Mus musculus: one gene and its partners. The protein of the gene in region 3 purifies or fractionates together with the protein of the main gene of each other region. This does not show direct contact. Links are inferred from orthologs where the notes say so. Each region holds a gene or a part of one and is shown on either strand. Other genes may lie near its edges.

Region 1 (3,500 bases), on a different chromosome or scaffold from region 3:
TCAGTTATGTGTTCTATGATAAAGTGTACAGGCATCATGTGGAAACCACCCTGTCTAAGTCTGCAGTCTAGTTAATGGTCACCATCTTTTCATAGCATGTTGATCGTAGTGAGCTATTACAGTGGTAGTTGTAAGTCAGTGACGGTCATCTTAAACTGAGTTTTTCTGAAGTAGGAGACTTTTTTGCATCTTTCCTCGCAGTTGAAGTTGGTTACTTATGATCTCTCTGCTTTTTCCCCCCCTTAAAGGAATCCCATGAGGGCAGATAGTATATCCACAAGCAATATAAAAAACCGAATTGGTAACAAATTGCCTCCTGAGAAATTTGCAGATGTCCGTCATCTCTTAGATGAAAAGAGGCAGCATTCCTGTCCACGGCCAGCAGTCAGCAGTACTAAACCAGGTATTGTTCTTCCCTCTTTTGTGCTCCTGACTCCCTTTTTGTAAGCCCCTTGAGTGGCTTGGTTCCATCCCAGATTACTCTAACGTTTCCAGCCCCTCAGTATGCAAGTGGCCAAGCTCTCTGCCCTGTAGAGGAAAGAAAAAGTCCAAGATCTGGCAGCAAAATCCCACAAATCCCAGGCCACCCTGGAAAGTATCCCACCACTACCACCAAGGAAACCTATATAAAGTCTGGGTCCTGCTCAGTTCTTTGCTCTCAAGCAGAGGTAGCCACCCTCCTGTATCCTTCCCAATAAATGTATGGTGAGAGATTTGTTGTGCAGGGTGACTTTGTGGTATTCATTGGCTTCTAACTGCCACTATACTTTCCCCTCAGAGTTAATCCTGATGCTTGTGAGCACCTGAGAGCAGATGGGCCCAGGGTAGGTTCTTCTGAACTCAATTAACTGTTCCTCTTCTTGTACCTACATCTTTAGTTAGGCGTCCATGAGAAAATAAATAAAGTCGGATTTTGCAACAAAACTACTTTTCAGTATTTTTTGTTTGAAATAATAAATAAATACTAAATAATAATAAATAAGTAATATTACTTCCCTGGGATATTTTATACCCCAAACCAATAAAGTTGGGTGGTTAGAAACATGGTTGAGTGTGAACTAGAGTGTATATGTGAGCAAACCCTAATGAAGCAATATAAGCGTGTGCTTATGGCTAGGGCTGGCATGTGCAAGTCTTTGGGGAGGCTGCAACAGCTGCCACAGAGCTGCTGAGACGATTCGAGCCGGTTTTTGAAGAAAGCAGCTTTAGAGTGTAGTCTTGGGAGGACTAGGACACAGCTGACAAACTATCTTTGGAGGGAGGAAATAATATGATTCTTATTTTAAGAGGTGATTTTGAAGGATTAGAATATAGTGGGCATAGAAGACAAAGTAAAAAGGGCTAAACTTTTTAGGGACAATGACGTCAGAAGGGGTGAGAATGGAACCCTGGGAAGGAGGAGGATGGAAGAGAAGCAACTGAAGAGGCTCAGCCTGAGCTCTTGTGAGGAGTTTACTTGAGAAGTCAAGAGTAGGCTCAAGGCTGATGAACATGTGGCTGCTGTCGCTGCTGCGTGTTAGGGGAAACCTCAGGCCCAGCGGCTCTGTGACGGACTTGGAAGAGAGCACACTTAATTTAGGACACAGCTCCTTTATCCTTGGCCTGTTGCCAGTCTCATTACACTTGTTGGTTAAATGTAGTAAGTTTATTGAGAACTACTTGTGTTTTCAAGGATTGTGGCTTGCAGTATTGTTAGCTGGAAAATGTGATGTGTTACTTAGTTTTGCTTGATTCTGGCAAAAAAGAAAAAAAGAAGAAAAAGAAGAAGACTGCTTCAGGCACTCAGCTGGTAGCCCCTACATCCAAGTTTTAAGTTTTCTTAAGAGAAGCAAGACCAGTTATGAACAGAACCAACCGGCTTCTAGAAGCCTTCTGATGCTGGGTGCTGTGCCTTCACTATGGGAGATTTGGGATCAGGTCTCTAGAGAGCTGTACTGATTAGTTTGTTTGGTTGGTGCCTCTGCCTCTTGAGGTCTGGGATTAAAGACATTTACCATCACCATCTGGTGGCTGGCCAGACTTTTTTTTTTTTTAATCAGCTTAAGAGTTATGGAGGAGGGAACCTTAACTGAGAAAATGCCCCTGCCGGATTAGTTTGTAGAGAAGCCTATGGTGCATTTTCCTGATTGCCGATTACTGTGGGAGGGAGGGCTCAGACACTGTGGGCAGTACCTCCCCTGCACTGTTGGTCCAGGAATAAGGAAGCGGGCTGAGCAAATTCGAGAAGCAAGCCAGTAAGCGGCACTCCTCTGTGGCTGTGCATCAGCTCCTGCCTCCAGGTTCCTGCTCTGTGAGCTTCTGCCCTCACTGCTTTTGATGAGTTGTTATATAGAGAGTGAGTGAAATAAACCTTTCCTCCCCAGGTTGCTTTTGATCGTGGTATTTTGTCACAGCAGTGGCAGCCATGGCTAAGACAAAAGCCTAGTTCATTGGTACTGAGGTAAAACACGTATGCTTGGTAACAGGTATACTTTTTCTCTTTTGGCAGATATTCGCCAGCGGTTAGGAAAAAGACCGTATTCTCCAGAGAAGGCTTTTAGTAGTAACCAGGTGGTTCGGAGAGAGCCCTCTTCAGATGTACATAGTAGGCTAGGTGTTCCCAGGCAAGATGTTAAAGGCCTCTACTCTGATACTCGGGAGAGGAAATCAGGTGAGTAACACTTCACAGTGATGGAAGGGAAGGAGTGGAGACCAGTGGTTATAGCATAAGAAGTAGGTAGGTCTGTGTTTGTTCCCTCTTCAGTTAGCATGACTTCCTTTGTCTACATCAGCATCAGCACCATGCCTACAGGAAAGTTCAGGAAGGAGAAAGGAGAAGCTATACATCCTTGCTGCTTTTTAGTTTCACATTATTTAGTTTCTTTGTTCACACATATATCTAGTTTTTTTTTATGTAGCCTTTTTTTCTATAACTCTTCCATTTTGCTTTACTCTTCATAAGTAAATTAAACCTTTAATTATCTTGTAGTATATGTATATCACCACATTCTAAACACATGCTTCTTTGTAAGGTTTTAATAAAACACTTCTTTTGGGGGATTTTTTTTATGTTTTGCTTACATGTTTGTCTGTGTACTGTGTACATGTCTGGTGCCCTTGGAGGTGGGAAGAGGGCATTGGATCCCCTGGAAGTGGAGTTATGGACTGTTGTAAGGTACCATGTGGGTGTTGGAAACATAACCAGGTCCTCTGCAAGAACAAGTACGCTTAACCAATAAGGCCTTCAGCCAATACATAAACACACTTTAAAAATGTATAGCTGAAAACCTGAGAATTGCTCATAGTAAAACAGACCCGTTCAGTTTGCAGAATGTGAGAGTTGGCGGTTTCTTGGCAGACTGAGGGGTACACAGCCTGGGAGAGAGGCAAGTGTCTAGTTTGTGCCTGGTATGGGGACACCAGCCTTGAGCTGTGAGCATCTCCCATCGAGTCTCAGGCTGTCCACTTACAGACTGGCACCAAGCACCTCTCCCGATGTTTCCTGCAGAGCAGGTGTTGGC
Region 2 (3,996 bases), on a different chromosome or scaffold from region 3:
AGGGTGGAACTTCCCATAGTCCAGTAGCAGGAAGATGTGTTATCACTGATGCCAAAGGGACAATATTATGATTGGTGCAAACACAAGTCTTCATTTGCACGAGTTTGCTGTTTGCTGTGTTTGGTGCAAACACCCTTTGCTGGCTGTAAAGCAGAAAGTTTGGCTCACTTGGGTCAGCTGGGACAAACCTTACTATGCTACCCTCCACAATGTCACATTAGGTCCAGTAACAGGAAGACAGTGGCTAAGAGCCCGCCAACTAGGTCACTAGGAGAGTTCCTGGAAACGCTTCAAAGCTAAAGGCCCAGGTACCGCACTTTCTGGAGCTACAGTTCGTAATAAGTTACCAGGGCCGAGGAATTCCCACTCCTCTCTGATTTATACAAAACCCGCCGGCCTGCTGCTTAGGGCTGCCAAATGCGGAGGGATCAAAAGCTACCAAGCCCCAGCCCAGAGAGCTTATGCGTTGAGCAGGACACAGCCAGCTGGTTGGCAACACTGATACTTAGTGTTACTTTGTATTAATATTAAGTGTCCTTAATAGGGAAAGCCCGAGCTTGTGTTTATGTAGCAAGGCAACAGGACAACACTTCTGCTATATGTAACATCTCAAAGGGAATACCACATGGGGGGAGGGGGATGTCCAGGCTGAATAATGGAACTGAGATTATTCTGCTGCTCTAGTTAGCAAGAATTATGGAAAGGTGCATAACCTCAAACCCCACCATTTATTTAGCACCTAGACAGAATGTAAGCCTCCATCTTTCGATATAATTTTGGGTAAATCCTGCCTATTCTCTGCACGACTGTAATGGGCGTGGTCACGTGTCCCCCTCCCCTCCAGCAGAGGCCCGAGTTAGCCGCTCTCGGGTCACCTTGACTACGAGGCTAAGGACCCCGTGAGAAACGCTTCTCATTCGATCGCGGAGTCCTCCATGCCCACAGAGAGGTGCCCAGGGAGAAGCCTGGCGTGGCAAACAAAACTAAAGTAGAGCCGACCGTCGGAGGGTGTTGCATAAGCGTAGAAGAACAAAATGGAGAGCTCTGCGGGGGAAGACGTGAGTTTCCTGTCGCGCTCTTGCTACTGGCGACCGGAGGAGGCGTCGTCTGAAGCTTCATTTCAAGTGGGCGTTCTGCAAAGCCAGCCGCGGAGCGCGCGCGGCGAAAGCCTGCTTCCGGCTCCTTGCGCGTGCGCCCTGGCGGCCGGGAAGGCGGGAGGCCGGGGCGAGCCTGGAACCGGAAGTGAAGGCAGCTTCCCGCCTCCGTCCCCGTTGCTGCCGCCATACACGCTCGCAGTGCTTAGGTAAGCTTTGGCCCTGTGCACCATCCACCGCCATCTGCTTCTCCCGCGGCTCGCCCCGCCGCGCGGGTCCCTGATACCCGGTGCCGGGCCGGCGCCGTGGCCGCCGGCGCGCAGGCGGGCGTCCAGTTCTGTTGTCTTCACCCCTTTCTGAGAGCAGATCTTGGCGGGGAGCTGGGAGACAAGGGGGGAACGATCCAAAATGGTGGCCTCGGCCGCCATTGTGTCTCCGCGCTTCCTGGGTGTTCCAGTGGGTCCTCTGCCCACCCGGGGCCGCGGCGGCCGGAGGCGGCGCCAGGAGGAGGGCGGGGCCCCTCGCATCTCCCCTCCGGGCCTTTTCTTGCTCGCCCAGGGATGGGAAGATCTCGCTCCGGGGCCCGTCCAGCCCTTTGACCCCGCTTTCGCTGCCTTATTTGGAGCTCTCTGTGAATGGCTGCCTCTGTGCGTGGCCGATGGTGTCGCGCACTTCTGGGGAAGCTTTTCCGAGAGCACTGCAAGGCGTTCCTTTCTAAGGCCACCCGGCTCACACTCTTAATCCTGCATCGTTCTCAGCTGTGACCTTAATTCCTTAGTGCGACTTTTAAAATTAACTTTGGCAGCGCTGAGCCGAACCTTGCGGCCTCTCGCGTTACTAAGCAAGCACTGCCATTGAACTGCACACACCCATCTTTTTCAAAACAAAAAAATTTTTTTTTTCTTGAAATGGAGCCATTCATACACTTCCCACCCTCCGCCCCGCACCACCCTCCTTCCTGCTTCTGTTCCCCGGTCCAGGTGTGCGCCGCTGGGACGGCCACTCGGGGGTTTCTGAGCAAGAGAATAGCGGCAGCCACATGATGTTTGCATTTGGGAAGTGAGCGCTCTGCGCAGTGCTGACCCTTATCTATCACCCTTGACTGATGGCTGACGTTGGGGATCACCACCGTGAGGTGGCAGGAGAAAGCGCAGTCTCTGTCTTCCCTTGTCCTTTGTGTCTCAACCCTCGTGTGAGTCGTTAGTCACGCTCATTTTACTGCGGTCTCCCAGTTGGCTCCTGCCTGTCGAAGTGTGTGTTACAAAGTCTGGTTAGCGGTGGAGCCCACTCTGTCTCTCCCGTCTGGTGTTCCCGTTTCTTATGTCATGAGTCTCTTTGTTAACTCTTCTTTCGGGACAAAGGTTTCACAGTTTAGGGAAGAATAGGACGGGTGTAGGGATCGACGAGAAGTGACGAGTCCATTCGTGACTGATGAGTTTTTCCGGTTTTTTTGTTGTCCCCTCTCCCAGCTCTTCTGTCGGAAACTGGTGTCTTTCCCCTTGCTGTTCTTCAACCCCTCTCTTTGGCCCTTGCTTCCTCACCTGCTCTGGGACACCTAACTCAAGAGACCTCCCTTCTCCCCCTGCCGGCCCAATTATGGCAGAGAACGATGTGGACAATGAGCTCTTGGACTACGAAGACGACGAGGTGGAGACAGCCGCTGGGGCAGATGGGACCGAGGCTCCCGCCAAGAAAGACGTCAAGGGCTCCTACGTCTCCATCCACAGCTCCGGCTTCCGAGATTTTCTACTCAAGCCAGAGCTGCTCCGGGCCATCGTTGACTGTGGCTTTGAGCATCCATCAGAGGGTACATTTTATTGTTGGGTGTAGAGACCTTATTTAGCACCTCTGGTGCAAGAAAAGGGAGGTTCAAGTCTAGGGTCATAGGATTTGAATTTATTTGGGATAGGCCAAGCTCTGAGAATGTACCCAAGACGGCAGCTGTAGAAGAGGCTTTTGTTCTCCGTTAAACAGAGGGCTGCCATTTGTTCTGTGCCTGGCTTTTTTGCTTGGTTTTTGTCTTTCTGACTGTTCGGACTCCCAGAGAGGGCCTGGTTGGACCTTTAGTTCCCTTCTTTTGGGCCAGGCCAAGTGTCGTTTCCGGAAACCTTAACGATCAGGATGCTGGCTTCTGTGGCTTCTGGGTCAGGTACCAAGTCCTTCATTTTGTTCAAGGTTGCAGGGTTACATGACCCAAAAGCACAGCAACCTATGTAGGAGAAATGGCCTGTGGCAGTCGAATTCATAGATTGTTGCGGTGTAAGAAAAGTAAGTTTAGCCAGGAACGTGGAAGGTGAGCTGTTGGTAGCTTCACGAGGGTTCTTTCTTAGCGGAACTGGGGAGCTGGGGTAGGAGGGTTTGACTTGAGTGTAAGAGTGATGAGGGTCAGGGAAAGGATGGGGTCTGAAAGGTGACAAGGTGACATATGATGAGTCGGCTGGGGAGAAAGGGGTTTGGCACGGTGCAAAAATGTCTCTCCTTTCTCCTCCTAGTCCAGCATGAGTGCATCCCGCAGGCCATTCTGGGGATGGATGTCCTGTGCCAGGCCAAGTCAGGCATGGGAAAAACAGCAGTGTTTGTCCTGGCCACACTGCAGCAGCTGGAGCCCGTTACTGGGCAGGTATGTTGGGGGCAGTGCTGGAGAGGGTGTGGAGATTGAATCACCAGGAGGCCGTTTCTGGCTCCATGTGTTCTCAGCTGGTGTCCTCTGCAGTTCAAGGGGAATGTTCGCCAACATCACTGACAAGTTGCTGGATGCTCTTGTGACGAGGGGCTGACTTTACTGTGTCTGTCTCCATTTGCTCCCTCAAAGGTGTCTGTGCTGGTGATGTGTCACACTAGGGAGCTGGCTTTTCAGATCAGCAAGGAATATGAGCGCTTCTCTAAGTACATGCCGAATGTC
Region 3 (3,953 bases):
AACAAAAACAAAAACACCTGAGATGGTTCTTCTCAGTTGTCAGGCTTACTCTCTCTGGAATGAACTACAAATCCAGAAATGAGGGGCACACCTGTGATTTTCTGTTTGGTGGAGTGGGTAGATCCACTTCTAGTCCAGACTTTAGGTAGGAAAGAACACCTCTGAGCTACATCTAGAGGCAGGAAGACACAGGCTTTTCTTTAATCTTTTGTTTGTTTGTTTTGTTTTTGTTTTTGGAGACAGGGTTTCTCTGTGTAGCCCTGGCTGTCCTGGAACTCACTCTGTAGACCAGGCTGACCTCGAACTCAGAAAGCTGCCTGCCTCTGCCTCCCAAGTGCTGGGATTAAAGCGGGCAGGCACACCTTTAACCTGGGCCACACCTTTTGCTGAAGCCTATATAAAAACATGGATGAAGGAAACTTTTGCACTTTGCCTTGCTCATAAGTCCGTTTCTTCACCGGCACTGGAGCCTACTTTTTCTGGATTCTAGACCAGCTGAGACATCCAGCCTTGTGGAACTAAGCAAATACTAGATTCTTCGACTTTCTGGACACATCTAGTTATTCTCCAATTAGCTGGACTGCAGCCCGTAAGTCATTTCAATAAACCCATATATGTAGATATGTATCAAAGGATTTCTTGCTAGTTGAAAGTTTTATGAGAAAGTCACTGACTTCACTCACCCTTTAAATTTGCCCCAACGCGGCTGCGCTCCGGACCTTCAATCTACCTGATCAACTTGGCTGTAGAACTTCCGAAACCACTTTATTTTACTTTTTATGTTTTTGAGAAAGGGTCTCATTCTGTAGCCTTGGAGCCCGGCGTGGTAGCACAGGCTTTTAATCCCAGCAGCATGTGGAAGGGGAATATAGTTGGATATCTGTAACTTCGAGCCCAGCTAGGGCTATATAGAGAGACCCTGCCTCAAAAGAAAAGAAAACAAAACACAATCACAAACCATGTAGCCTACGGCCTCATACTCGCAGAGCTCCATCGGGGTCCCAGAGTGCTGGACGTTTCTAGCGCTTCATAGTGGGGCCGCCTACATTGGCGAATTTTCACCGCGCCGAGGGCGGGACTTGGAGGCAACCTTTAATTGGTCAGCCTAACTCGTGACGTTTTTCTTCTGCGACAGCTTCCCGAGGTGCTTAGCTTCTAGAGACTCAGAAAGCGCCGAGAGAAGCAAGATGGCGGACGTGCTGGATCTTCACGAGGCGGGGGGCGAAGATTTCGCCATGGATGAGGATGGGGACGGTGAGGAGAGTGGAGGCGACTGCGGGAAGAGGGGAAGGTGCGAGAGGGGAATGCAGTAGAAATTTTCCTGGGACGTCACCCCACGAACTGGGTCTGAAAAGATAGACTCCTCCCCCTTGGGAAAGGAATTAGGGGCGGAACTGGGAAGGGACTGAAGCTGGAGTCTGTGTCGAAGCTTCCAGATAGTCTAGGAAACGCGACAGGTTTTTTTTGTTTTTTTTTTCAAATGACTCTTATTTTTGTTGCTTCTTATTTTCTCACCTGGAACTCTAGAAAGCATCCACAAACTAAAAGAAAAAGCAAAGAAACGGAAGGGCCGCGGCTTTGGCTCCGGTGAGTGTGGGGAATAGGGTAGAGTGGTCTAAGAGGCAGAAGCCCGCGAATTTGGGAGTGTGAGGGGGACACATTTGGAGGACAGTTTTCGGTGATCTGGTATGAATTCTTTTAGAAGAGGGGTCCCGAGCGCGGATGCGGGAGGATTACGACAGTGTGGAGCAGGACGGCGATGAACCTGGACCACAGCGCTGTAAGTAAATAGGACCTATGGGGAGTCTGTGTGCACTGGCACTCAAATGCAAAGTAAAGAGTTGTTTAACCAGTCTCAGAAAATTGCTTATTGTAGGTTCTTTTCAGAATTTTTCTTTTTTAGTTTGTTTGGTTTTGGGTTTTTTTGTTGTTGTTGTTTTGGATACAGGGTTTCTCTGTTAAGCCCTGGCTGTCCTGAAACTCTTTTTGTAGACCAGGTTGGCCTCAAACTCACAAATCTGCCTGCCTCTGCCTCCTGAATACTGGGCTTTTTAGCTTACATGTTCATACAACACTTTCCCTACCCAACAGCTGTTGAAGGTTGGATTCTCTTTGTCACTGGAGTCCACGAAGAAGCCACTGAAGAAGATATCCATGACAAATTCGCTGAATATGGGGAAATAAAAAATATTCACCTTAATTTGGACAGGCGCACGGGATACTTGAAGGTAGATTTTCTTGCTTCCCTCACTTACAACTCTTAGATACATTGATTATGTTGTTTTTGTGAGTTGATCAAGCACAGGTAGGAAGTGAAATGACATTGGAAATTGATTTTGTTACCCACATGAAAGAGACAGAAACAGAATGAGCATGTTTGTGTATATAATGGGGATATGTGGTGTATAGCTGCGAAATTTTTCTTGTAACTATGCATTTCTGGTTTAAGGAAAAGAGTACTTGGTTGGTGAAGTAAAATTCTGATACTTTTTGTTGTTTGTTTGTTTGTCTTGAGACAGGGTTTCTCTGTATAACAGAGCCCTAGCTGTCCTGGGCTCACTTTGTAGACTAGGCTGGACTCTGCCTCTCTAATGCTGGAATTAAAAGTGTGTGTGTGACGCCTGGCTAAGCTTTGATACTTTTATATGCTCCCCTAGGGGTATACTCTAGTTGAATATGAAACATACAAAGAGGCTCAGGCTGCCATGGAAGGACTAAATGGTCAAGATTTGATGGGGCAGCCAATCAGTGTGGACTGGTGTTTTGTTCGTGGACCACCAAAGGGCAAGAGGAGGTAAGATGAAGGGATGGGGGTTGTACATTTATTTATCTTAGTAAAGGGAACATGAGCAAGATAAATAAGGATTCAGTATTAGATCTCTGATATTCCCCTTCTGTTTTTTCATTTTCTTAGAGGAGGCCGAAGACGAAGCAGGAGTCCAGACCGGAGACGCCGTTGATAAATCCTCTGTCGACTGGGTGGTCTCTCTACAAGTCCATTTGGTTATGCTGCCTTGGATAAACAGGGCTAGGGCGGACCTTGTGTTTATATTTAATTTCTTACCCTATCTACTTGGCATTGCTTTTGAGTTTTAGAAAAAAATAAATGTTCCATTTTGTTTTCTATGTTTATTACTTTACTGTTCTGGAAACTGAACAACTACAGTGGGGCATTGTGAATGATTGTGAAGATCCTTCTGTCTGGCGTGGCATTCTAAGTTTCTAGAAAGGCTCATGGAGACTGTTCAGCATTTCTTTGTCTTAGAAGATAAGGGTAGGGATAATGAGATTTTTCTTGTGGAATTAAGGAATGTATTTTGCATAACTCTTGTGAGCAGATGTTATATTAGTGTCTCTTGCTTCTCTGTCAGAGCCTGTGCAGCTGGCCTTGAACTTCAGGGGCTTTGTGATGCTTAGCCTACTCTATGTTGAATATGGTGCTGAACTGTGAAGTTTATTAGTTCTTACAATGTAAAAGAAACCCAGCTTGATGGGCTGGAGAGATGGCTCAGTAGTTAAGGGCACTGACTGTCCTTCCAGAGGTCCTGAGTTCAATTCCCAGCACCCACATGGTGGCTCACCATGGGATCCCATGCCCTCTGAAGATAGCTACAACATACTCATATAAATAATTTTTTTTTTTAAGAAAAAAAACCCAGCTTGGGTACTATGTAACAATATGCACACCTTTAATCCCAGCACTTGGGAAGCAGGTGGATCTTTTGGTTTAAGGCCAACCTGGTCTACAGGAGAGTTTTAGGATAGCCAGGGCTGCACAGAGAGATCCTGTCTCAAGAAAAAAAGACATTGCTATCCCTTTATCATAGGGTTTTGGTTGTTTTTTTTTTTGGGGGGGGGTTTTGTTTTTTTTTTTAATTTTTCTGAGACAGGGTTTCTCTGTGTAGCCCTGACTGTCTCCCCTGTGCCTCCCAGGTGCTAGGATTAAAGGCGTG
Region 4 (4,214 bases), on a different chromosome or scaffold from region 3:
CGAAAAAAAAAAAAAAAAGAAAAGAAAAGAAAGAAGTATACACGTGTAAAAACATGTAGTGCATGCAAATAGCATTAAAGTCATTTTGAGACTTGAATTGAAAGGAGAGAGGTTAAAGCTGGGAGAATTGCAAGGAGGACAATGTGTGAGCTTTTGAAAACTTAGTTGAGGTTCTTATTAGCCTGTTTTGTTTCTTTTTTTTTTTTTTTTTTTTCCTTTTGGTTTTTTTTTTTTTTTTTTTTTTTGGTTTTTCGAGACAGGGTTTCTCTGTGTAGTCCTGGCTGTCCTGGAACTCACTCTGTAGACCAGACTGGCCTCGAACTCAGAAATCCTCCTCCCTCTGCCTCCACTGGGATTAAAGGCGTGCGCCACCACTGCTCGGTTGTTTTGTTTTAAAGTAGAACATATTGTCTACTACTGAAGTACTAATATTTCCCCACTTCTCAATTTGAGAGGCACTGTTGGACGTTAGTGTAAGCCAAAGTTGGGCAATAGAAGAGGGTGAAAGAGTTAAGGAAAAAGCTTTGTAGGAGGAGGGCAGACACCTGAGGAGAGGAGCTTGAGCCAGCACCTTCCTGACAGAAGAGGAAACAAGTTTAACAGGATTTAGCCCCAGAGGAACTAAATTGCTGATGGAGGAGGGGAGGGACCGGACCGGGCTTTGGCGCTCCTTCCAAGAACAAGGCACAACCTAACAAAGGGAGTGGCCTCACTGTCCCGGTAGATTTAAGGGTGGAACTGCTCGCGGTAGCCAAAGCTAATCCGAAGTGTGGGGCGCGGCTAATTAGAATACTGACTGGGTCCGCCCCAAAAGCCTTCACCCCGTGCCCTCTGACCCGAGAGGATCCAGTACTGAGCAGCAGGCCAAGAAGTTACCTCGCCGGCCGCTGAATCCCCAGGGCTGCCCGCCCCAGTTCAGTCATGGAAACCGCCAGCACCCCCGAGGCCACGGGGACAGGTGACCGACTCGCAGTGCGCCGATCTTTGCGCACCCCTTCGTAGGTCTCTGATCAGTTAACCTGGGCGGCCGAGAGTGGTCGGCGTGCCGAGTAGACCTGCCCACTTTTAAGTGTTAGCCCGGGTTTTCGTGTATCCCTGGGGCTTCTTTGCCCATGCCAACACGCGCCCTAGGGTTTGGTGCAGGCGAGGGGCCTTGCATATTCCTTTCCTCTTTTACCAGCTTTCCTGCTGGGTCCCGGTGGGCCTTGAGCCTGCGAGGACTGTCTGGGATAAGGCTTATGCCCAAACTTCTCTCCGAGCCCTAGGGATTGTTTTATATACATCAGGAGGTCAACAGTGGCGTCGGTGGTAGTCTAAGAGCCCATGACTGTGAGCGTCTTACACTCGCCTTTTCCGCCTCCCGCGTCAGAGAAATGGTGCAGTCTCTCTTTAAGATTAAAATGGTGGCTTGCTAGGATGAGGACTCCACTTCCGGCGGGGAGGGGGGCGGGACCCCAGCCCGCTCACGCCGGAAGTGGTTCGGGTTCTCAAGATGGCGACTCCCTATGTAACTGACGAGACCGGCGGTGAGTGCGGGGATCGCGGAGCCGCCTCTCCCGGGATTCTTGGGTTAGGGGTTCGGACTTGGAAAAGGGTTTGTGCCACGCCCATCCCGGGGCTCCTCCTTTGCCACGCCCCCGTACCGCCTTCCCCATTCATTCCTTTTGGGTTGTTACCTGCGCCCCCTTCTGGTCTCGTGTTTTTTGGGGGGGGTCTCTGCTTCCGGTCTCCCAAACCCTGGGGTCCTCCAATGTCCCCTGCTCCGGGACCCTTAGGCGCTTCAGCTCTTTCTAGCTGTTGGAGTCCCGTACCTTTGCAAGGTTCTCCAGCATTATGGGCTCCTGTGCTCAGTTCCCTCCAATTCCAACCCCCTTTCTCCCTCCCCCATTTCTTACTGTTGTACCTGCTCTCTACCCTTCCCTGTTTTCATTCTTTCTCTCCGGGCTGTGTCTGCTGATGATCTCATTGCTACATAGTGCTTTCTTCTTCACTCTTTGCCCCATCTTCATTGGGTGGGGGTGGGGGTGGGTGTCACTGAAATCCAGACGTGTGAAGGGAAGAGGAATTTAACTTTCAACTTGACTTTTCTCCTTGGTGGAGTTTTCCATTTAAAGTGGGAGAAAACAAACAGGAAAGTATCTACTGGCCTTTCTCTCAACGTCTTTGATAATTGATAGAACCCCATGATTTCTTAAAGGTTGAGTAGCACTTCAGTCGAGCTGTCTGAAATGTTGGAAGTCAGCTGTTTGTGTGTGAAGCTGAGAATCGGTTTTATGTTTTTGTCTTGTTTGTAGTTGCCTTGTCTTTAGGATAATGTGCAATATTGACTTCGAGATGATCAAATAGATATTTGGAAGACGTAGTGCAAGTACCCGGTGACTGTTTTTGTAGCCTTCATCTTGGTCTTCATATGTGACTAGGGTTTTGTAGAAGTGATCCTGTGATTGTGCGGTAATGCACGGTGTGTTTTAAAATGTGCCATTTATGCTTCTTGGTTTGCTTTAAATGTTCCTTATTAAAATTAAAAGCATGAGCCACTGTGCCCAACCTTTAAAAAGCAACTTTCATCTTTAACACTCCAATCCCCAGATGTGATCTCACTATGTGGCCCTGGCTGGCCTAGAGCTCACTGTGTAGACCAGGCTGGCCTTGAACTCATAGAGATCCACTTACCTCTGCTTCCCAAGTTGTGGGATTAAAGGCGTCTAATACCATGACAGGCAGTTTGCAGCTTTTAATGTGTACCTTCTTATTCTTTTTATATTCCATCTGGCCCCTGCCCTGCTATAGAGATAGTTTCTGTTCTTTGTGGCTCTGTAGAAGAGGAAAATAAGCTGTTCTTTTGCCTCTCTGCTTTTCAAATGCAATTTTAGCAAAACGGCAGTGTTCCTATCTACTGCCCACAGATTATGTTTTTTTGTTTGTTTTTTTAAAAGACTTATTTTGTGTGTGTGAATGTTTTGCCTGTGTGTATGTCTGTGCGTCATTTGTGTGGTTGGAGACCACAGAAGTCAGAAGAGCTATTAGATCTGAGGCTGGAGTTTGAGCTGTAGGCCACTATGTCGGTGCTGGGAATCAGACCCCCAAGTCCTCGGTCCACTGCAGTAGCCACTCTTAACCTCTGAGCCAACTCTCTAGCCCTTTTGTTTTTATTTTTGTTATTCTGTCTGTAGCAGCTTGGGAATGCTCTGAACCCCCTCGTTCCTGAGCACGAGATCATTGACGTACCTTTGTATTTTCAGCTACACCTCAGGATTACTACAACCTGGACTTCATCTGTGACACATTTCCTTTCAGGTATTCCCCTTCGCTTTAGCCTCCTTACCAGTCGCCATTTGACAGTCTCAAATCCACAGAGGCAGCTTTTTGCCCTCTTTAGGTTTTCTGGTTGTGTGTGTGGGTGTGGGTGTGGGTGTGAATGCGTGTACTTGTCTGTGTGCACGTGCATGCATGTGGAGGCCAGATGTTGATGTCAGGTGTCTTCCTTGACCACCCCACTTCACCACCACCACCACCTTATATCTGACAGGATCTTTCACCTTAACCCAGAGTTTGGTGACTCAGCTAGTCTAGATAGTCAGGGTGCTCCTGGGATCCTGTCTCTGTCTCCCAAGTGCTGGGATTGTAGGCATGCCACCAGCCCACAGGTGTGAATGTGGATGGATGCTGGTGATCTGAGTACTGGTCTTTATATTAATGTGGCAAGTGTTTTAACTTCTGAGCCATATTAGCCCCCTCTTCTCTCTCTCTTTTTTTTTTTTTTTGTTTTTGTTTTTGGGTTTTTTTGTTGTTTTTGGCTGTTTCAGATAGTCTCTTGCAGTTCAGGCTGGCCTTGAACTCCTGTTCTTCTTGTCCCCGCCTCCTAAGCCACCTGCATTGCAGGTATTTAGTTCAGAACTGCATGTGGCTGTCTTTGTCTTGAATGATATTCATCAACTCTTTTCTTGGCTACTGATTTTAGACTCTAAGAAAAGAAAATCGGAAGTTAGAAGATTCAGTCTCGTGTTAACTTCTGTCAATATTACAGCTTTTTGCCAATTCCTGCTTCCTGGAAGCCTAAATTCTTTTATGACTATTTTACAAGACTCTATCATTAGCCCTTTAATTCCTCCTTTTGTGGCAAATACCCTTACTTTATATTTCATTGGAAAATTAGGGCCTGTCATTTCTGTTTTCTTAGCCTCAGCCAGGTGTCTGTCACTCTCCTCCCTCCC
Region 5 (3,500 bases), on a different chromosome or scaffold from region 3:
AGTTCCTGGAGTCGTACAGCCTGGAGGAGGAGAAGACCAGCGCTAGTCCCGAGACGCTGCTGGGAGAGATAGAAGCCAAGACGAGAGAGCTCCTGGGTCTGTTCTGCTCGTTTGTTTATTGAGATACTTACTGATGGAGTATATGTCCAGTTCTCCTTTTTTCAAGATGAGGGTAAAATTTCTTTCCACTACAGGCTTGATGGAAACAGTATTTTCTACTTTCAACAAAAAAGCGATAGCGCAGGGAAATATTTCCGAGCCTTTCTCAGCGGAGACTCTGCTTCTGGGGTCCTGGCTTAGAATGGCCGTGCTGCCACAGACAGGGGCACGCCCTTGGCTGCTCAGAGAGGACACTTTGTTGCAGCAGAGTGACTGTCTTTGCAGAGCAGCCACAGTGGGCCTTGGGAACCTATAGAGACAAGACATTTGGCTCATATATGAAGCTAGATATCTTCTGAGGAAGCTAACCTGTCAATGCAAGCCCAGCTCGAGTCTAGCATCTGGTTAGAATCCTCATAGAACTTTTTCCTAAAATAGTGTATTTTAGAAATGTTTGTCTCTTCAGAAAACTCACGAGCAGACATGAAACCCCTTAGTTTAGTCTCAGACACCCCTGAATGTCCCATTTCCTGATGGCCTCAGTATTAAACCTCTCCTCTAGGGGCTGAAGAGATGGCTCATAGTTTAAGAGCATTGGTTGATCTTCCAAAGGATCCAGGTTGGATTTCCAACACCCAGATGGCAACATATAGCCATTGCTAACTCCAGTCGCAGGGGATCCAGCGCCCTCTCCTAGCCTTTGTGTATATTACACACGTGATGCACAGACAGGCATGCAGGCCGAATATTCATACACATAACAGAACACACAGCCCTTTTCCCAATGCCTGCCATCCCTTACGTGTCCTGCTCACCTGCCTAGCATCTCACATACAGTTAGTTGGTTTGTTGGTTTCCACATGAATTCCCTTCCCGATTTCCTCCCCCACGTCCACAGTGGATCTATATTTTCCTCTTGTAGTGGCAGAAAAGAGATGTTTAAAATTGAGTATATGGGGAATAAAGAGACCAGAGTCTGGAGCTCTGTAGGAACAGAACGTAAGCTCACGGGATTGGAGAGATGTAAGAAGCCCTGTGCTGAGACCTGACACCTGACTCCGCCCGGGACACACACACACACACACACACACACACACACTCCTCTCATTGCTCTGACCACAGTGCTGGTGAGTGCCAGGGAGAAGCAAGGGTCTGACCGAGAGCTCTGGCTCCGCAGGGAAGGCTGTTGTAATATACTGGGCATGTTTTAGAAGTCAAATATGGACAGAAAGGAGGAGGATGGACTGATTAGTGTGGGGGCTCAGGGGCAGAAAGAACTAAAGACCAGGCTTAAGGTGAGCAAGCGTGTGTTAACTGTGGCTTCCAGGAGTTCCAACTGGACCAGCCTAGGATTAGCTCTGAGACTTGGCACTTCATGGCCTCAGCAAACATCATCACCTTGTTGAGCCTTGTAAACTTTTATGACAGGTAATTAGGAGGGGAGGAGGGATAAGTCAGTGCTACTAAACTTTATCTTGGGGTCCTTTGTTTTCCTAGTCTGATAGCCAAAGTGTCTCTTTAAAATAAATTCATTTCTGCCAGACTGCTTACATCCATGAGCACAGCACCTGCCACGACGCGTGGGCGCCCTGAGCATGCCCACTCTCCCTAAGGCTGAGTCCCGTTTGGTCTCTAGCCAGGTGTCAAAGGTCCTCAGTGCCAACTTGCAGCAATATCCAGGATTCTTCCCAGCCCGTTCACTATGAGGTCTTAAAGGTCTGTCGGGCGGCCCATCCCCACCGTCTCACCGTGTGCTCACATTGGAGGGCTGTGGGGCTGCTCCCTCTGGGGAAACCTGTAGGCCTCTGATACATGTGGGCACCTGACATCCCAAACAGACATGAGAGGTAGGACGTAGGAAAGGTGGCATTCAGGGTAAAATGTGGAAACATACTTCTGATGAGAGAGATGGGTGGTGGATTTTTCTGTTGGTTTGGTTTGGTTTTGAGTCAGCAGTGCCATCTGCAATCATTTCTAAGCTTTAGATTGAATAGCTCTTGCCTGAAATGATTAAGACCAGAAATGTTCTGTTTGGGGCTTTGGAATATTTGTGTGTGTGTGTGTGTGTGTGTGTGTGTGTATAATGCCACACAAGTCTAAATAACAGTTGTGTTTTCTATGTATTTAAACACAGTTAGAAGGCAGGTGTATACCACACGTGCAGTGTGTTTCTGTGCTGACTGACCTATCTCATAAAATTACATCTAGAATTTTCCACTTGTGTTATTACGTCAGTACTCAAAACTTTCCTTGAGGGCATTTCAGACTTTGGACTTTTGAGTTAGGTTGGCGTGCATTAAAGACATTGTAGCATTGGGGCTGGGGAGATGGCACAGTGCTTAGAGGGCTTGTTGATCTGCAGAGGACCTGACCAGTTCCCAGTTCCTAGCTCCTGCACAGCAGCTCACTGCCGTTACTAACTTCAGTTCCAGGGAATCAACAGCCTGTACTGACCACCACAGGCACCAGGCATAAACATACCATACATGCAGATAAAATAAAATAAATCTTAAAAAAAAAACCTCAACAGTGGAAAAGCAAAACGTTCTGAAAATACATGTAGCATCCAAGTCAGTGTGTAAATGTCGCTCTGACTCCTCAGAAGGATAAAAATAAATTAGTAACATCTGAGAAGCTTAAGATCTCACACATACACATGTTTTGCCAAGTATGTGGGCAATGTCTTCTGACCTTTTTTAAGAAAACATGTCATGTGTCTTTTTGTTCACTGTTAAGTTGCCTATGGCTCTGTAAATATCCACATATATGTATTCCTCCCTATAAAGAGCCCTAATTAAACTCACTAGGTCACAAAAACAAAAACAGAAAAGCCCCACAAAGGTAGACGTGAGAGGAAGAGGACTAGTTGGGAAGAGAAAGGTCAGCAGGAGAGAGAGGGCTCATGGGTAGGTCATGGAGTATAAACGTGATCAAAATACATTATACATGTGTATGAAAATGTCATAATGACCCGTTATTATGTATAACTGATATATGCTAATAAAAACTTCAAGAGTGGCGAGAAGTCAGTGTATCAGAATTGCCAGCACCTACAGATTACTTGAATTTGTAACAGAATATGAATGTCCCCAGGTGCGGTGCACACTCACACTTTAGAGATCATATTCTTCCCCTAATTATTTTAATGTTAAGTTGGAAACAAGAACTTAAGAGAAACCTCAGTTTACAAGTTATATGTAATGTATTATAATTTTTTTTTCTTTAGCTAGAAGGACCACCCCTCTTTTGGAATATATTAAAAACAGAAAATTAGAAAAGCAGGTAGGTAACATTTGTACCTGGTGGGCATCCGTCCCGTACCTGTTGTTTCTAACAGGAAACTTACATATGTGTTTGGCTCTACCTTCAGAGACTCCGGGAAGAAAAGCGCGAGGAGCGGA
Region 6 (4,273 bases), on a different chromosome or scaffold from region 3:
GGTTGCAGCGAACTGGGCTAACTAATCCTTGGCCTGATGGAACATTTACTTATCTGTTTTTGTTTGTTTCATTGTGTTTTTTAGCCAAGTTCTAATATACCTCAGGCTGGCCTCAAACTTGCTATACAACTTAGGATGACCTTGAATCCTTGCTCTGTCTCCATCTCCAGAGTCCTGGGAGACTGCGCCTCTACACTCAGCATCTGTTTTTGTGTGTTTTGAGATGATGTAATGTTGGGTGTCCTGAACTTCGCTCTGTAGACAAGGCTGGCCTCAGAGTTACAGAGATCTCCCTGCCTTCGACTCCTGAGTGCTTGGATTTTAAGGAGTGTCCTTACTGGGAGATCCACCCAAGCAGAGGCAGCCACCCTCCTGGGTTTTTCCCTCGCAATAAATCTCGTGTTAGGTTTGTTGTGTGCTGTGACTTTGTTCTATTTCTTGGCTCCCAATTGCCAGGATCTTTTGGAGCACAGCTGAAACACTTTGGGGAACCACCTCCACCCCTCCCCCTGCCCAAGCAGAGCAGATACACTTCTGTGGGGGGAATGCCTTTCCCTTCAGAGCTGCAACACTTACACTTCCTCCACTGAAGAGTGGGAAGGAAACCCAGGGAGGAGTGTTTCTCTAAGTCTCGCAGCTGGCTGTGGATGCTCATCAGTTGGTAGCTTCTGCCTAGCACACAAGAGCCCTTAGTTCCGTGGTCAACATTGCATGTACACCTGTCACCCCACCACCAGGCACTTTGAGGCAGGAGGATTCCCCCGAATTCCAAACCAACCATGGTTACAGTGTGAGACCCTCAATCAAAACCAAAACAGGCCGGAGAAATGGCTCAGAGTTGTGCACCCAGCGCTTACAAGAGGAGCTCACATCCATTCATAACTAGTTCTAGGGGACCTGACCCCTTCTCAGCGATTCCCAGGCTAGCTCGGACCAGTGCGACTTGATCGCAAGACAAAAGAAGCATTTATCTTCACAGGCTTCAGGAGTGCTCGGGGTAGCAGTGACTACCATTTGGCAGAGTCCCCGCTCCCTACTCATTTATTCAATCGATGAATACTGAGAATGGCCACGAGCCAAGTGACAGACGGGGTAACTAAGGTTCAAGGAGTGCAGGTGCGTGGTCCCCGTGCCACAGGCTCCACACCCAAAACCTTCTGGAGAGAGCCTCAATCAGCACCTAACGAACATCCAGCCCTGAAGCCCGGAGGTGAGGACGTCGCATGCGCGCATGCGCACCGCTAGGCAGCAGTTGGGGCGGGGCCAAGTTCGCGAGCCCAGGTCCTTTAGGCGGTTGAAGGCCCGCCTCTTCGCGCAGGCGCACGGCGAGTTCCGCCCTCCCGCTTAGCTCCCAGTGCTCCGGTGCGGTTGGCTACTTTCCGGGAGGAACGCGCGCGCCTGCGCCGGCGTCGGACTCGCGCACGCGCATCTGTGCCGGCGTCCGGCTCGCGCACGCGCACCGCAGCGGTGGCGGCGACGGCGGTTCCTGTCCAGGGGTCTGAGAGCGGCGGTCGGCTTTGAGGCGAGCAGCGTTACGGAGGGGCGCGGCGGCGGCGGCGGCGGCGGCGGCGGCGGCGGCGGCGGCGGCAACTCAGAGCTCAGAACCGGCGGCCCGGCTCTGCTTTCGGAGGCCGACTCGGAGCCCGCCCGGCTCTCAGGGCGGCGGCAGCGGCTACTCCGGATTACGGCCTAGGCCTAGCCGAAGCCTCGGGCTCGAGTGCGGTGAGGCGCCCGCTGAAGGCGCGGCCCGGGCGGCAGGATGAGTGTGGAGGCGTACGGCCCCAGCTCGCAAACACTCACCTTCTTGGACACTGAGGAGGCCGAGCTGCTCGGCGCCGACACCCAGGGCTCCGAGTTCGAATTCACCGACTTCACCCTTCCCAGCCAGACGCAGACGCCCCCCGGCGGCCCCGGCGGCGCGGGAGGCCCGGGCGGAGCGGGCGCAGGCGGCGCGGCCGGCCAGCTCGACGCACAAGTGAGTTGAGCGGCGCATGGCGGCGCCGGAAGCCGGGCGGGCGCGGGAGCTGCGGCGCTAGATCCCAGTTAACCAGCCTTGGGCCCCTGTGAACCTGAGCCAGGTCCCAGTTAGACGGCGCTGGTCCGAGCTACCGGCTTCAGGTCCAGTTAACAAGCCTGGGTAACTGCTTCCTGCTCTGGCTCCTTAAACATTAAGTCCCTATTGGCCAGCTCCAGTTACCCACCCTGGATTCTTGTTTAAACTGCCCAGGTACCCGCCACCTGCCCTAGGTCTCTGGTACCTTATTACCAGATCTGGTTCCCGTTACTTGCCCTTTTCCCAGATCTCTGCTTCCACCCTATTCCAACTACCTCTTCCAGGTCTACCTGCCACAGTCATTGCCACCTGACTCAGGTTCCTGCTACCTGCCCTAGTCCTTGCTGCTCTGGCCCACCCAGCTACCTACCATCTTCTCTGATTCCCAGCCTCTTGTCCCAGCTACTTGCCACCTGTCCTTTTTTCCTCCACCCTGCTAGGCTGGGCAGTGACCTGCATTAGTGTCCCTCCTGTAGCGCAGGATCTGCTCGGCTCAAGGCTTAAGCCAGAGCTTCCCTCACTCCCCTCCTAGGTATGTCTAAGGTGACCTGTCCACAGTTGCTATCCTCTGGACGGACCCACATTGCCCTCCAGGGTCACCTGTTTGGCTAGTCCAACCACCCCATCTCACCCTTTTGCCACTTCATCCACCACCCCCTCCAGCCAGGGTTCAAGTTCAAGTTTGGGTTAGGGGTTCCCTGGAGCAGAGCCAGGGTTTTGTCGCCTCAAGTGGAAATAGCCCACTTTGTGGATGGAGAGGTGACTGCCGGTTTGTTTTTCCTTCTGGGTTGCCTGTTGCTGAAACCGGTGTTATGTAACTCCTAGGCTCTGCTTGGAAAAGTTGGGTTTGAATTTTGTTCCTTACCCACAATGGGTACCACATGGGTGACTGTGCCTTGGGGAGGGGCTTTTGTTTTGAATGATAGGCTGCCGATGTAGGCATTTCAGGTTGGGCCAGGGCCAGGCCCCCTCTGCCTCCCCATCAAATGCTCTCCCTCTCTATGGCTGGCTTGGTGTCAGGCACCTCTTGGCTTTGTTTTCCTGTATTCTCTCGGGGAGGGGGGGGAGCTGCAGGCTAGAGCCACAGGTGTTCTTGTAGTCCATCTGTACTTAGGGCTAGGGAGCCACCACCAGTCTTCAGCAGTGATCTCAGACCGCATTCTGGGAGGGCCTTCAAGCTGGCTGGTTGAGTCATGCCTGTGGGTAGACCACCCACTTGGGCTCATTTTCAGCCCGAATAGAAGGAGAGGGCTGACTCAGCTCCTGTTGCGATGCGGATCAGGTGTGCCAGCTTGTTGTTTCTAGCTGTTTACCTTTAGTGTAAGGAGGTGGGGAGAGGGCAGATTGCCTGGAGGAGTGAGGTGGCCCTGCAAGCTAGTCCTCCTGTTAGTCTCCCCACTGGGTAGACCTTCCTTGTTTCCTTTGGGCCTCATGGACCTGGAGAAGGGCTGTGATGGCGCAGTTGGGGAGACGAGTGGAAGTGGCCTGCTTCATCTCAAGGTCTTTTAGCTCTAGCTAATGTGCAGAGCAGACTCAGGCTGTGCGTGTGCTCACATGGGTGTGCCCTGCTCCGCCAGTTGAAATCATAGATTGAGCCATGAGCTGCCACCCACCTGTGGCCTCTCATCACAAGGAAGGGAGGGAGCGCCTTCAATCCTGTATTCGGAGGACCTGCATCTGTGGGGAGAAAGTGAACAGAATTGGAAAGTGGAGAGAAACTCCTTCCTTGCATACCCAGGGCCCTCTGCCACCAAGAAACATTGATTTTCCTTATTTGTCCTTTGAGGTAAATGGGTCACACAGCCTTTGTTCAGGGGGTCCAAGGAGGCTGGACCCCCCACCCAGTAGGTTGAGCTCCTCCTGTTGGCCAATGGAGGTCCTCTCCCAGCTTTATTGAAGCAGGGTCATGGAGCTTGCATTTATCCCTGGAAAGCTGGCAGCACAGTGGCCTTTTGGGCCAACATCATTAATACCAAGTAATATCCTAGCATCCCGAGTCCCTGCACCCTCAGCTTCTCTTCAGCCACCAATAGTCCTGTGGCCTCTGTGGATATAAATGTCCCAGGCCCTTCCTGTGCTGGATAGATAGCATAGTATACTTGTCCTGTGTCTGTTGTGTTTGTGGCTCACTACTTTGAAGTGCAGACCAAACTCGGGGCCCTGTTATTGTTGGGCAGACACTCTGTAGGCTCTGCCTACCTCCTCACTTGCTGTCATGAC
Region 7 (3,500 bases), on a different chromosome or scaffold from region 3:
TCCGATGTATCTAGTTATTCATCTGTTTACTTACCTACCTTAGAGAAATAATAGTTTACATAAACATTTCTAACATAGGAAGTAAATGTATTTATTTGTTAACTCTTTGGTTGTGCTTTTCATATTTTTATTTATTCCATAATTTGTGATTTAGAATAAGTATGAGGTAAATTAAATTCAGTACAAATACAGGGATAATCATACAATTTCTGTAAGGTTTCTAGGTTGCTTATATGTTCCTCAATCATTATTTCCTGTAAAATACAACATAGTAAGTACTGATTAGAAAGGGCAGCTTGTCATCAAGTGCTTAAGATGCTGCCAAGTAAAATATCAATAGTATCTGATTTTACACAACCACAGTTATTACAGTTTACCTCTTGAGAAAAGGATAGTTTGGTATTATAACTTGAGGCATCAGAAATGCATTCACGTAGTAGCTGGGGTTAAAGTAGGAGTATATAATGTTGGGGAATGTCATTTTAACTTTTTTATACTTCTATACATACTGCCTTATCTTACAAGTTTATGAACAAGAAATGAAGAAAGGAGTTTGCAGGTTTGAAGGTCAAAGTCCCTGTTATATGTAAGACTTGCTTAAATTGGAGATGTCTATATTAAATACCTGAGTTTTGCTCCAAAGAATATTAATATCTAAAGTAGAATTTCTTATTTGATGCCTGCTATTCCAGCCTCAGAGAAAAAGAGTCTCTGCGAAATACTTAGGACCAAAGATCAACAAAGGTGTTTTCCAAATTAATTTGACAGAAATATGTGGCAGAGATAGTAAATGTTCATAATTTATTTATATATTTTTTTCAAAAAGTTTTATCTTTGTCAGGCTTATCTTTGTCAGGTGTGGTGGTGCATGCTTTTAGTCTCAGCACTCAGGAGGAAGAGGCAGACAGATCTCTGTGAGTTCCAGGATAACCAGGGCTACACAGAAATATCTTGTCTCCAAAAAAAGGGATTGGGTTCATCCTTAAATACTTTAATAGAACTTTTTCCAAAAAAAAAAAGAAGCAGGTAACATAAACTAAGGCATCAAATCTACTTTTATAAAGTTAAATGTGTCAGCTCTGTTTGTGGTAACCCTAAAATGTGTTTGACATTTTGTTTATACTTTTTTCATGTCTTCTTTTTTTTTTTAACCTATGACAGCAGAATAAAAAAATCTTTAGACTAAACTCAACAACTGGTTCAAAAATTATATAAATAGGAGAAAATATTTGAATTAGAATCATTGCTGTTGTCCATTAATAAAAATTAAAGGTTTCTTGTTCAACCTTTTAACTTAGTTATTATAACTAGGTAATACCACAGTACAACGTACTATTTTAAATTTTTGTTATTAATTTCTTATAGCTAAATTTATTTTTTTATTTATTATCAGCGTTATGTTTGGTGGAAGAAAAGTTTGGAGGTTTGGACAAAAGACCATCCATTTCCTATTGATATAGATTACATGATCAGTGATACACTAGAACTGCTAAGACCAAAGATCAAACTCTGTAATTCTCTGGAAGAATCCATCAGGCAGGTACAAGACTTGGAACGAGAATTCTTAATAAAACTAGGTAAGCAATTTATTACAGAGAGAAAATGAAGGGGATTTGGTCAGATTATCTCTAGAATCTGTTTTCTAATGTTTCCAGTCAGAGTTTTCAGTGTGCATACTTTGTATCTTTGATGTTGAGTACTGCATAGTAGTTTTAGATGTGACCTGGTTGGTTTCACCAAGTGATCTCTAATTGAAATAAACGATCAAGCCGGACTTAAAGCAAGAGATAGTGAAGGAAAAATGCAGTCGTGTCAACTGCTCTCTCTTACTTTTAGACCCTGGTTTCTGAGCAAATGTTTGGATGAAAATGTCTCCTATTTCCAGCTGGTACTATTCCTGAAAACACACAGACTTTGAAGTAGAGAGGGAGTACTTGTTAGAAATGTGGAACAACTACCAATTTTAAGGTCTCATTCATTAGTGGAGTTGGCTCTTTTTCTGGGTCTAGAGAAAATGTGCTGCTAGAGGACTCTATGTACAATGTTCTTTAGCTTTCTGAGGTGCTTCTAGAAGACTTAACCTTTGAATGTCGCCCCTGTGGAATATAGTAGTTTACTAGCTTGGTCAACAGGTAACAAATACAAAGTCTAGTCATACCAACCTAGTCAGTCTGCTTTATTGTAGTATTTTCATAATCATTATCTTCTCAGAGTTATTTCATTTCTCATTAGCACTTGGTGTGTTCATATGTATCCTTACTGTCAGCTACACTTAGAGTATTGCTTTGTTACGTTGCTTGTCTGAAGAACCAGTCTGAAGTGAAGGTATAAGTGACAGTCCCCTCCCTACCCCAGGTATCCAGAATATTGATGATATGCTTGCCACCTCCAGGGTAAATCTGAGTTGGGGACTATGCTTGTGTTTGCCTGATTGTTCCAATCTCTGCACTCAGTGTGCACGTAGTGCTGTGTTCTCTGCTCACTTCACAAAGACCGAGGGTGAATTAGGGCTTTTCAGCCTTGACCCAGGTTACCCAGTTTCTTTTTCTTTTCAGATTTCTAATTGAATAAAGCATTTCACACAAAGCATTATCTCCTTCTTTGTATCTTCTGAAATTGTTAAGATGTACCCTAGGGCCCAGAAATTTTCATAAATGGTACAACTGTGTATAGGGGCATAAGGAAGAAGAAACAAGATTGCTTTGTCTTGTTGTAAATTAAAGGGTTAAAAGACATTGAACTATCTATGAGGAACATGAAGAAAGAAAAACGAGTCACCGTTATGGCTTGAAACTATAAAGATGGTAGCACTTAAAATCAGTCTCCATCCTCCTGGCTTTAGAAGTTAAATAAAAGGAAGGGGCTGTATGCATAGTGTGTGTTCTACGTAACCCTCCTGTTGATGAACCACAGCACCATGCTTTGTTTGCCATTGTCGCAAGCACCTGGGAACTTTTCATTTTAATTTTATAGCATCCAATGCAAGGTGAAGCTAGTGGGAAGTACTAAAATTAACTTTTAATGTCTTAAACCATTTACAGTGTTAACATAGATGATGCTTATGGCAGTAATTCTGAGAAATAGAAAGAAAACCACCTGTAGTGCAGTTAGAAAGACTGGTATGTTAATATGACTTATGATAGTTGTTTTTTAACTTTTCATGTTTTTGCAGTTTTGTAACTGGACTTTTTAAAAGTCTTTGGGGTTTTTGTTTGTTTGTTTGTTTTAAGATTGTATTCTTTTGTTTGACTGTACCATACTTAATTCTGTTGTTTGACTCTTAGGATTTTTTTTCAGGTTTACACCATTTTATTGCTTTTTAAAGTGATTTTCATACCTTTTGGTAGACAGAATATACAGAATATACAGGTTAAGACTTTTTTAAAAGCCAAAATGACTCAGTTTTTGTTTGGAGGTTCCAGCTAATACTGTGAAGAGCAGAAATGAGAGTAAATATATTCTAAAGCCGAAGAGTATATTTCTTAAATTTTAAACAAAGC

What was found.
Region 1: the proteins of Rbm8a (region 3) and Ncbp3 purify together in Homo sapiens (co-immunoprecipitation; 3 studies listed by BioGRID and IntAct, with this or other methods). This does not show direct contact. The link is inferred for Mus musculus from reciprocal best matches to the Homo sapiens genes RBM8A and NCBP3.
Region 2: the proteins of Rbm8a (region 3) and Ddx39b purify together in Homo sapiens (co-immunoprecipitation; 4 studies listed by BioGRID and IntAct, with this or other methods). This does not show direct contact. The link is inferred for Mus musculus from reciprocal best matches to the Homo sapiens genes RBM8A and DDX39B.
Region 4: the proteins of Rbm8a (region 3) and Pym1 purify together in Homo sapiens (co-immunoprecipitation; 11 studies listed by BioGRID and IntAct, counting the BioPlex papers as one, with this or other methods). This does not show direct contact. The link is inferred for Mus musculus from reciprocal best matches to the Homo sapiens genes RBM8A and PYM1.
Region 5: the proteins of Rbm8a (region 3) and Upf3a purify together in Homo sapiens (co-immunoprecipitation; 4 studies listed by BioGRID and IntAct, with this or other methods). This does not show direct contact. The link is inferred for Mus musculus from reciprocal best matches to the Homo sapiens genes RBM8A and UPF3A.
Region 6: the proteins of Rbm8a (region 3) and Upf1 purify together in Homo sapiens (co-immunoprecipitation; 7 studies listed by BioGRID and IntAct, with this or other methods). This does not show direct contact. The link is inferred for Mus musculus from reciprocal best matches to the Homo sapiens genes RBM8A and UPF1.
Region 7: the proteins of Rbm8a (region 3) and Upf2 purify together in Homo sapiens (co-immunoprecipitation; 6 studies listed by BioGRID and IntAct, with this or other methods). This does not show direct contact. The link is inferred for Mus musculus from reciprocal best matches to the Homo sapiens genes RBM8A and UPF2.

The regions. Positions count from the first base shown.
Region 1 is NC_000077.6:73,075,367-73,078,866, forward strand, and holds part of Ncbp3 (nuclear cap-binding protein subunit 3), read left to right. Parts: intron 1-248; coding exon 249-403; intron 404-2,488; coding exon 2,489-2,650; intron 2,651-3,500. UniProt on the Homo sapiens protein: Associates with NCBP1/CBP80 to form an alternative cap-binding complex (CBC) which plays a key role in mRNA export. NCBP3 serves as adapter protein linking the capped RNAs (m7GpppG-capped RNA) to NCBP1/CBP80.
Region 2 is NC_000083.6:35,240,550-35,244,545, forward strand, and holds the start of Ddx39b (spliceosome RNA helicase Ddx39b), read left to right. Parts: upstream 1-1,196; 5' UTR 1,197-1,303; intron 1,304-2,128; exon of another isoform or gene 2,129-2,205; intron 2,206-2,267; exon of another isoform or gene 2,268-2,286; intron 2,287-2,563; 5' UTR 2,564-2,690; coding exon 2,691-2,901; intron 2,902-3,525; exon of another isoform or gene 3,526-3,586; coding exon 3,587-3,714; intron 3,715-3,906; coding exon 3,907-3,996. UniProt on the Homo sapiens protein: Involved in nuclear export of spliced and unspliced mRNA. Component of the TREX complex which is thought to couple mRNA transcription, processing and nuclear export, and specifically associates with spliced mRNA and not with unspliced pre-mRNA.
Region 3 is NC_000069.6:96,628,775-96,632,727, forward strand, and holds the start of Rbm8a (RNA-binding protein 8A), read left to right. Parts: upstream 1-1,153; 5' UTR 1,154-1,187; coding exon 1,188-1,254; intron 1,255-1,527; coding exon 1,528-1,587; intron 1,588-1,702; coding exon 1,703-1,780; intron 1,781-2,091; coding exon 2,092-2,228; intron 2,229-2,657; coding exon 2,658-2,794; intron 2,795-2,914; coding exon 2,915-2,960; 3' UTR 2,961-3,953.
Region 4 is NC_000076.6:128,747,041-128,751,254, forward strand, and holds the start of Pym1 (partner of Y14 and mago), read left to right. Parts: upstream 1-1,414; 5' UTR 1,415-1,492; coding exon 1,493-1,526; coding exon of another isoform or gene 1,527-1,594; intron 1,595-1,630; exon of another isoform or gene 1,631-1,750; coding exon of another isoform or gene 1,751-1,820; intron 1,821-3,242; coding exon of another isoform or gene 3,243-3,297; intron 3,298-4,214. UniProt on the Homo sapiens protein: Key regulator of the exon junction complex (EJC), a multiprotein complex that associates immediately upstream of the exon-exon junction on mRNAs and serves as a positional landmark for the intron exon structure of genes and directs post-transcriptional processes in the cytoplasm such as mRNA export, nonsense-mediated mRNA decay (NMD) or translation.
Region 5 is NC_000074.6:13,792,115-13,795,614, forward strand, and holds part of Upf3a (regulator of nonsense transcripts 3A), read left to right. Parts: coding exon 1-96; intron 97-3,325; coding exon 3,326-3,381; intron 3,382-3,469; coding exon 3,470-3,500. UniProt on the Homo sapiens protein: Involved in nonsense-mediated decay (NMD) of mRNAs containing premature stop codons by associating with the nuclear exon junction complex (EJC) and serving as link between the EJC core and NMD machinery.
Region 6 is NC_000074.6:70,350,480-70,354,752, reverse strand, and holds the start of Upf1 (regulator of nonsense transcripts 1), read left to right. Parts: upstream 1-1,473; 5' UTR 1,474-1,759; coding exon 1,760-1,975; intron 1,976-4,273. UniProt on the Homo sapiens protein: RNA-dependent helicase required for nonsense-mediated decay (NMD) of aberrant mRNAs containing premature stop codons and modulates the expression level of normal mRNAs.
Region 7 is NC_000068.7:6,027,969-6,031,468, forward strand, and holds part of Upf2 (regulator of nonsense transcripts 2), read left to right. Parts: intron 1-1,393; coding exon 1,394-1,577; intron 1,578-3,500. UniProt on the Homo sapiens protein: Involved in nonsense-mediated decay (NMD) of mRNAs containing premature stop codons by associating with the nuclear exon junction complex (EJC).